2 linked regions of the Daphnia pulex genome follow. Each later gene encodes a partner of the first gene's protein in a complex. Links are inferred from orthologs where the notes say so. Each region holds a gene or a part of one and is shown on either strand. Other genes may lie near its edges. The genes, in order: vam6/Vps39-like protein and vacuolar protein sorting-associated protein 41 homolog.

The links.
Region 2: vam6/Vps39-like protein (region 1) and vacuolar protein sorting-associated protein 41 homolog share a complex: the UniProt entries of both Homo sapiens proteins name them as parts of the homotypic fusion and vacuole protein sorting (HOPS) complex. The link is inferred for Daphnia pulex from reciprocal best matches to the Homo sapiens genes VPS39 and VPS41.

Annotation. Positions count from the first base shown.
Region 1 is NC_060022.1:6,334,165-6,338,470, reverse strand, and holds the start of vam6/Vps39-like protein, read right to left. Parts: upstream 2,966-4,306; 5' UTR 2,889-2,965; coding exon 2,816-2,888; intron 2,681-2,815; coding exon 2,477-2,680; intron 2,403-2,476; coding exon 2,302-2,402; intron 2,222-2,301; coding exon 2,018-2,221; intron 1,947-2,017; coding exon 1,769-1,946; intron 1,707-1,768; coding exon 1,459-1,706; intron 1,388-1,458; coding exon 1,258-1,387; intron 1,188-1,257; coding exon 1,045-1,187; intron 984-1,044; coding exon 617-983; intron 553-616; coding exon 154-552; intron 69-153; coding exon 1-68. Other genes in the region: porphobilinogen deaminase-like, read left to right, coding at 3,330-3,380, 3,457-3,529, 3,609-3,792, 3,849-3,934, 3,997-4,084, 4,147-4,306. UniProt on the Homo sapiens protein: Regulator of TGF-beta/activin signaling, inhibiting SMAD3- and activating SMAD2-dependent transcription.
Region 2 is NC_060028.1:9,539,076-9,543,341, forward strand, and holds the start of vacuolar protein sorting-associated protein 41 homolog, read right to left. Parts: upstream 2,813-4,266; 5' UTR 2,681-2,812; intron 2,600-2,680; 5' UTR 2,594-2,599; coding exon 2,399-2,593; intron 2,318-2,398; coding exon 2,159-2,317; intron 2,104-2,158; coding exon 1,781-2,103; intron 1,719-1,780; coding exon 1,564-1,718; intron 1,495-1,563; coding exon 1,276-1,494; intron 1,213-1,275; coding exon 1,107-1,212; intron 1,045-1,106; coding exon 893-1,044; intron 834-892; coding exon 679-833; intron 615-678; coding exon 436-614; intron 372-435; coding exon 182-371; intron 121-181; coding exon 1-120. Other genes in the region: peroxidasin-like, read right to left, coding at 3,501-3,564, 3,637-3,742, 3,818-4,016, 4,106-4,203. UniProt on the Homo sapiens protein: Plays a role in vesicle-mediated protein trafficking to lysosomal compartments including the endocytic membrane transport and autophagic pathways. Acts as a component of the HOPS endosomal tethering complex.

The sequences.
Region 1 (4,306 bases):
ATAGATTGATAATGCTTGCTCGTGACGACCAACTTTGCCCAGTAAAATGGCCCTCTCCTCAAACAAGCCTACATATATAATAATAAAAATTCAAAATGTAACATTACGCAGAATTTAAAAAGCCAAAGCATAAACATCTTTAAAGTCACTTACAGTCGTATGGGAATTGAACTAGTATAGCCTCGGGAGAGCAGTGCCGAGAAATTTCAAGGAACGATCGTAACTTTGCTTTTGAATCTTGGTATTCACATTTAATTGCCGGGTCATTGTTATCCTCTTGTAACTGCTTTTCAAGTCTGAGAATTTTATCTTTGTAGAGCACGGCTAAGGCATTGTGGAAGAGAGCGTTCGAATCTTGCCATTCGTAGACAACATGTTCGAGATAGGGTAAAGCTAAAGAGCGATGGTTCTTATACAGAAAATCGTAGACTTTGGCACGTGGGAGTTCCTCGACTTCAGGCAAGTCTTCAATAAAAATTTTAAGACCATCTTCTGGGTGGCTTTGTATAACCCACGAGGAGAAGTCAAAAATTAAGTCCGTGTGTTCCGATCCTAGTCAACAAGATTTCCTTTTTTAAAAATATTACAGTTTCAAAGAAAGTCATGTTTAGGCTACCTAGATGTTGGAGATATTGTACAGTTCGGTCATGATGAGCAAGGGGGGATCCAAAATCTTCTGAGCTAGTTGCGTGTTTCCGAAGCAACTCCAATGCTTTCCGATGAAGGCCGCGAGTTTGGTAAAGGATTATAAGCTCAGCATGTTTGTGATGGCGCTTCAGCGCTCGTTCACTCTCTGCTAAATGACAATGGTTATCTCGTAGTCTTAACAAAGAAGCTACCAGGGCATCGTTGGTCAACAAATAGCATTTCAACAAGGTCGTATCGACTATTTCCAATAGTTGACGTCTTAGCTTCAAGCTTGAACCAACGTCCATAATGTTGGTTCCTGTTTTGACATTCTGACTCATAAGGTCATTCCTAACCTACAATTGAATAACAAATATTAACTCTTTGTAGGTAATAAATATTAAAAATTGTAACAACCTCAGTGAGATATTTAATCAAGGCCAACACAGCGAGATCGAGGTCTCTACCTTGCAAAACGGGAACAGCCTCGGGGTATTCCACTTTTTTCCGGAATTCTACTGGTAATAAATCGGGAAATAGACCAATCACGTAAGAAGGATCTGTAAATTCAATCGGTTTTTTCTTTAGTAAAATAATTTCAATTCATACATTTGCTCTCTCTTTAATCACCAGTAGCAAGCTTGAAAAATAGCTGCAATGATTCGTCAAAGTTGTGTTTCTGGAACAAATTGAAAGCAAACAACGACTGGATGTGTTGAACTTGCTGCGAGCGAATATCTTGTGGTTCGTTAGACAAGTTCTAATCATAAACGAAAAATCTCATTATTTCCCATCATCTCGAAAATTATGAAAAATTTATTTATAACATACCGCAAGCTGAATGGCCAACTGAAAATGTTTGTCTTCAAGCAAGCGAGGTAATTGCAAATGTACAGGGACTAAATGTAGACACCAAACATGAGAGGGAGATGCAACGTAAATCTGTCCGTTCTTCGATATGACTGACGTCATGTACTTGGCCTTTGGCAATTCTAATCGCTGGACAAGGAGCCGTGGCTCTGCTGCTCGAATCTCTATGCAAGACGTCAACACACCCAGAATGTATGGAGAGTCCTCCACTGCAAACATTTTGATTAGTCGACTTAGGTTATATTCTGAACAATATTGGGGTATCTTTTACCTAATAGGATCGGTCTCTCGGACCACGTCAGTGTATACTTGGTGCAAGGATTGCCATCGATATCGATCATAATTGTTTGTTCGTCTCTTCCCAAGGCGAATTTATCGCCTTGTAAGGCACATACCAAAGGTTCAGGCTGTTTTCCAGTGGGAAATAAATCTCTTTGCTCTCCTTCCAGCTATAAAAAGTTAAAAAATATAATTTATTGCCTAAGCAAATCTATTATCGTTAATTACAAAAGAAAAATACCTTGAGTAAACAATATTCCCCCTTAAAACCTAAGCAAAGAGTTTCTCTACACCAACCAATAGTCCGAGGAGTATCGGAAACCGACAAATCCGGCCCTAACTCCCGGAATTCTCGATTTTTCCAATAAAAAAGCTGCAGTTTTTTCTTCACTACAACACAAAGCCTCACTGCCACTGATATCTCCCCAGTCAAAGAAGTTTGTCTCTAAATGAACAATACAAAAGTTTAATTTTGTCACTTCCATCAAAGTCATTGGTTGATTCTGGGAAGGGAAAAAATATTACCTTGACATCAAGACTAAAACATGTGGCTCCTTTGGATTTATTAAGTGACGTTATGACTGGAAAATTAAACACTGTCAAATCATGAACAGACACAAGGTAATCTGAAAAGTATAAAGAAGAATTGGTTATAAGATTCCTATACAAACCAAATGGCACTTAAATACATTAAGCTCACCAGAAAGGCTGATAAGAATCTGGTGTTCAGGAACAACAGCTAGTTGTTGTATTGGTTTTTTGGCAAAATATTTGTTGGACCTTAGCAAGTGGACTTCACAACGTGAGCTGAGAGAACTTTCAGCACTGCCACCATTACTTGCGCCTTGAAGAACACTGTACATCAACAAATGTCCTTGTTGGGTTCCCACTAACAAGTGTTCATCTGAAAACAAATTTTCAATGTAAATAAAACCCATTCATATAATATAGATGAAGGATAGTTAAATAATAAGAAGGCACAGTTGACTAGTTGATAAATTAAAATCAAACAGTGGTTCTGTATTTAAAGTAAAATTACCATAAGCAGCTATAGATTCAATTTGGAGAGGTAATTTCTCCAAAATTGGTAACGCCTCATAGGCGTCATACATTTTTAAAAATCACTAATTGTATGGTGTTTTAATCTGACATGACACTGGGAGGGGGGGGGGAATTTGTTGTTTTGTAGCAGACATCATACAAATGTCCATCTATAGTTCACTACACACACTAAATTTAATTTAAAAGAAATTCCAAAATCAGAATAATTCAACCTAACTGAAAGATAAAATATACAAGCAATTAAATATTAAAAAATTCTAAGTTCTGTCAATGTGTAATTGCTCACCGACCTATCAATATTCAAGTGAATTTTCTTTATAATCCTTGTATTTAGCGCAAAATATTCTATTCTACGCAACGCTGCCTCACTGCTTGGTCATCTTGTTTATGAAATACTATCGCATATTCACAATCAAATTTCTAATCAGATTCTAGTCTTCATCACGTTTCCCTTCCCAGAAAGAACCAAGGAACCATATTCATTGAAGAAGATGTCGGATTTGACGAAACCAACCGTTCGTATCGGTTCCCGCAAAAGTCAGGTATTATTCTCATAAATCATTATTTCCGCTAGCGCATACTTCAAAAATTGCGACGTTATTCTATATTTGATTTTAGCTTGCGCTTGTTCAAAGCAATCATGTGCTCGATCTCCTCACTCAACACTATGAAGACAAAACATTTCATCTCGGTAATATTTTCGCATATTTGCGCTTCGCTGGCCCCTTTCATGAAATTAATTCAGATAAAACAACTTTTATCATTTAAAGAAACGATGACCACCATCGGAGACGAGGTGCTTGACAGAGCATTATCACAAATTGGCGAAAAGAGTTTGTTCACTCGTGAATTGGAGGTGGCTCTGGAACATAATAAGGTCGATCTCGTAGTACACTCACTTAAAGACATGCCGACGACGCTTCCTGAAGGCATGGTCATCGGTGCCATTCTAGAGTAAGTAATTTTAAAACCAAAATGATCATGCTATTATTTACTCACATGCATTTTAGGCGAGAAGATCCTAGAGACGCAGTCTTAATGGCTCCCAAGTTTTCCGGGTGTACATTAGCAACTTTACCAAGTGGCAGCGTCGTAGGTCAGTTGAAAAATTTCAATAGAAAGAGTGATCAAGTATTCAAACCCGTCATTATTTATTAGGAACGAGTTCGTTGCGCCGAGCAGCTCAATTGAAGCGCCACTTTCCCCACCTTGCAATCCAAGACGTAAGGGGAAATTTAAACACAAGGTATAATATAATTTCGCCGATAGATAAAATCTTTCGTCATTAATCGCGAGTTTCTGTGATAGACTACGCAAATTAGACGACGAAGGAACGTATGCTGCACTCATTTTAGCGACAGCTGGAGTCAAGCGAATGAACTGGGAATCGCGTATTTCAGAATATCTTGATACGGACGTGAGCATGTACGCCATTGGCCAAGGTGCACTCGGGATCGAGTGCCGCCAA
Region 2 (4,266 bases), on another chromosome or scaffold:
GCTGCTGCGGAGGAAGGAAAGTAATTTTTCTTGCGCATATTCGGCGTAGAGGGAAACTAAAAGGCCGTGGAATTTTCGGCTTCCTTCCTTTGGTTCTTTGAGATACAACGCGTCCAGATACTACAATTGTAGCGAACTTGAATTAATTAAAAACTCACACGATAAGTTTTGAACGACTAACCTTGAATAACAATTGTGGTTTAGTTTGTAGACGTGACACCACTAAATCGGAAGGAATGTGTTCGCTGTGTTCTAGGAATAACGTACAAGCTTGGTTGACGTCCAGTTCCATTAGTGCGAGGATTTTATCGTGGACGGTGGTGAAGAGCTGATGTTGAGCAATCAACCGAAACACATCAGCATGCTGAAGTCTGAAACAAAAACTATTTTGAAATCCGTATCGCGATAACAGAATAATAACCTTGTTTGACGTACTTGAGGTACATTGCCAGGGCTCGATCGTATTTCTTCTCGTGAGAATACAAAATAGCCAAGGCTTCTAGAAGAGTGGTATCATCTGGATCATGGCGAAGAATGTGCTCGAGCACAGCGTTCATTACAGCTGCAATGTTATAGAGCGTAGGACTCCATTCTCTTACTAGCCGAAGAAAGCCCTGGAAATAGAATAACGTTTAATCATTTCTTGATTTTTTTACTCATAGTATTATGTGTTCTTACAGCTGAATCAGTTTTGAGAAACTCGAAGAGAACCATTTCGTAAATATGTGGATCCAATCTACATTCACCTCTTGGAAGATAAGGGGTAACAGCCCGTAGTTGGTGCAATCGAGCAAACTTGAAAACTTCCTCTTCCCAAAGATTTTTCTCTTTGCCTGTTTGAGACGAACAATTTATAAGAACGGCTAAAGTGAGTACAAATTACTGTACGAACCCAGAATTTTAACACAGAGCTTGGCAGCCATCTGGAACTCTCCCTTCGACAAAAGGAAATCGAGGTACGTCCTACCGACCTGAAGAACAGAATGGCATTTCAGTTCACGTGCTTGTGGCCCCGTAACTGCTTCCATGGCTTCTTCGTATTTTCTATTTTAGAAATAAGATAGTTCTTTTTGTGAGAAAAAAAAAACTTTGAAAGTTGCGCTTACTGATGTTCCATAAGCCACTGGACGTGATCGTCAGGATTGCGCGGTTTAGCTAAAACAACATCTTTTGGACTAACGATGAAAAATTGACCCTCTTCAGCCAGACATTCTGTAAATTGGCCAAAAGTAGTGGTCAATTCCAATCATATACCAGGTTGATTTGCTTTATTACCCAAATGATATTCGTTGCAAGAGTATTCCTGAAAGCCACGAATTGATAAAACATCTGCTGAGATTTCATTGTAACTTTCCTGGTGTGGTTCCACCAACTTCATTTGAGGTCTTTGACCCTTGCCAGATAGTTCCTCGTCTTTTGGAACTACTAAAAGGGCTAAATGATTGCCCAGCCATCCAGCGCCAGCCACGAATGAGTCAATAATAAACATCGAAACTGGAAAAGATAAAATTGCATCTATAACGTTAAGAAAAAGGGAATACTATTTTTTCAGGGTAAACGTACCAATTTCAACGTAATGTGTCGGAAGATTTAGTCGCTCTGCGTCAGCATCCGGACGCCTTCGGATGACACAGACCTTGATGTCATCTGCCCAAGCAACGACCAGTGTCAAATCATCCTTCCAATACAGGATACACCGATAACTTTCTGGGTTGATTCTGTATTTTTTATGTGGGATTTAGTAAACAGTTTCTAATAATATTTAAAAATGTATGCATACCCAGGGCTGATATCTTTCTTGACAACGCTGATTATGCGGCGAACAGACATGTCAAAGACTCTTACTCCCGTTGTGCTCGCCCAAGCAAGAAACCTATTTTTCCACTTAATGTTAGTGATTTCACCTTCCCCTTCAAATAAGGTGGTCGATTTAAGGCGAGAAAGAAACACTTTTTCATGTAAGATAAGCCTATCATCGCCAGTTACGAATCTTCTTCCAGAACCAGACTTGTAGTACAGCGGATCAAGAGCAATAGCTTTGACAGGTCGATCAACCATTAGTGTATGGCAATTTTCTGTAGAGTAAAGCCCAGACACCATAACCTAGAAAATTAAAGATTTTTATACCTGAAAGTGAAAACTAAATGCTTCAGTCTACCTTTCCATCATTTGAACAGCTACCAATATAGTCTCCTCCACTATCAATATCAACCATATTTATTGCCATTCCATGAGTGGGAAACTCTTGTTGCTGTGATGAATGCCCAAGATGATCAAGTAAATGCAATGCTCCCCAATTGGTTCCTAGACACATAAACTAAAGGGAAATGATAAAAATATACTACAAAATACATAGACATTTTTAACAAACAAGCACTGTCAATTTAATCATATTTACCTTAGGATGTACAGCGATACAGCTGGCTGCATCTTTCTTCAGGATAACTGTTATATCATTGGACAATCGCTCATACTTTAGCTTAGGTTCAACTTCTTCTTCTTCATCATCATCATCAGCAACAAAACTGTGTGACATCTCTGCAGCCTGCTCCACAAAATCATGCTGTTCAAGCTTGCTAACAGTTTCTTCCATGATTTCCTAACATCAGTTAAGGGAAACATTTTGTAAGGCAACATATAATCTAAGTAAAAATGAAAAACTAACTGAGAAACTACTTACAAATAATATAATTTTTTCTGTGTAACAAAATAACTAGAAATCGTTTACTGCGCCTTTTAACTCTGCAACATTTTATCGTCACTGAAGGGGTGTCAAATGCAGACGACTCTTGATCTTTTTGTTATTGTTTTTGCTGGTTTTTGTTAGTTAAAATCATAAAATGGCAACGTAGGAGCACAGAGCATGATTAGTACGTTTTTTGATTTGACGTGCAATAGACTTTCTCTGCAGTTATTTTTTAGAAAGACAACTTTAATAATGTTTTCTTGTACCATGGTATAGGATTTCTATACCATGCTTTAGCTACTGTAAAATTTCATCTTTTCTTGGCCCACATCCACATACTGAGACAGTGAAAAGCTGAGAATAATGTGCCTTCAATGTAGTGAGTAGTTCATTTCTATATTCTTTGCAATTTCTCAAAGTTGAATAACTACAAAACATTAATCTCTTTGTTCTTTCATACTATTCAGGATGATTAACATTGAATGGTGGTCTCCATGAGCAAGAACCCAGTATCCAGTACCATCTTAATCATCACCGGTAAGTCAAGTTTTCAATTAATTACGTATCTTTGACCAGATTTATTCAAAAGGGAAAAAATATCTGTATCAAGGATAAGGGGGAAATAGCTATATTTTCTGTCGTAGTATAGAGAACATGTACTATTCAAAGGAAAATTAGATTTATCAAAGTATACAGACAATGTAGTCTTCTATTGGTTTTCCCTTAGTCCCCCCTCCCTTCACCATTTTACAACACAATTTTTCTTAAAACTGCCTGTGAAAACCATGCATTTTCTTGATACCCATACAGATGCTTATTTGGTATATTTCACAAAGTCCATTTTTGGAATGCTACTGCATGAAGTTGGCATATTTGTGCTATAAAATGATTGTTTTAGAAATCAAATTAGTTCATTTTTTCAAGTAGACTTGTGACAAATTAATCATTACACAGTTGGTGTACGGAAGGCCTGCGGTTGAATTTGCGCAATAGTTCCATCACTGTTGTCACAGATGATGCGGGCAAGACTCACTTTCTTGATTTCGACCAGTTGATCTATTAGTAACATTTTTTTTTCACATAGTAATTGAGTAGGCCACTAAAGATTACCAAAATTGGTTTTGTTCTTACTTGCAGTGAAAGAAACCGATTGCGTTACATCGGTATAGAAGAAACGATCAGATTGCCTCAGGTTCTCAAATTGCTTAGCTATAATATAAGTAAATGTTGGTCCCACCAGAGATCCTGGTGCTTTTGTCTCTGTTACTCCACCGATGTATAAATCAATGTCGTTCACCGAGCCATAAATTTTCTTGAAATATGTTACAATCTAAAAGTGATGGTGAAAGTGTTTAGGTTTTGCACCATAAAAATGTCTATTAAACAAAGTTTTAATTGGCGAGTTTTAAAAGTGCATACTTCTGGTGAAGTGGTTGAATTTAGAGCATCAAATGTCGTTGGGAGTGGTGTTTTCAAATTCAAGGCAATTTGTCGGGCTTTAATGTAATTCGGCAGACCTATAATTGCATATCAATAAATATTTTAATTCATTGCTTAATACTTTCCTCAACTAAACGAAA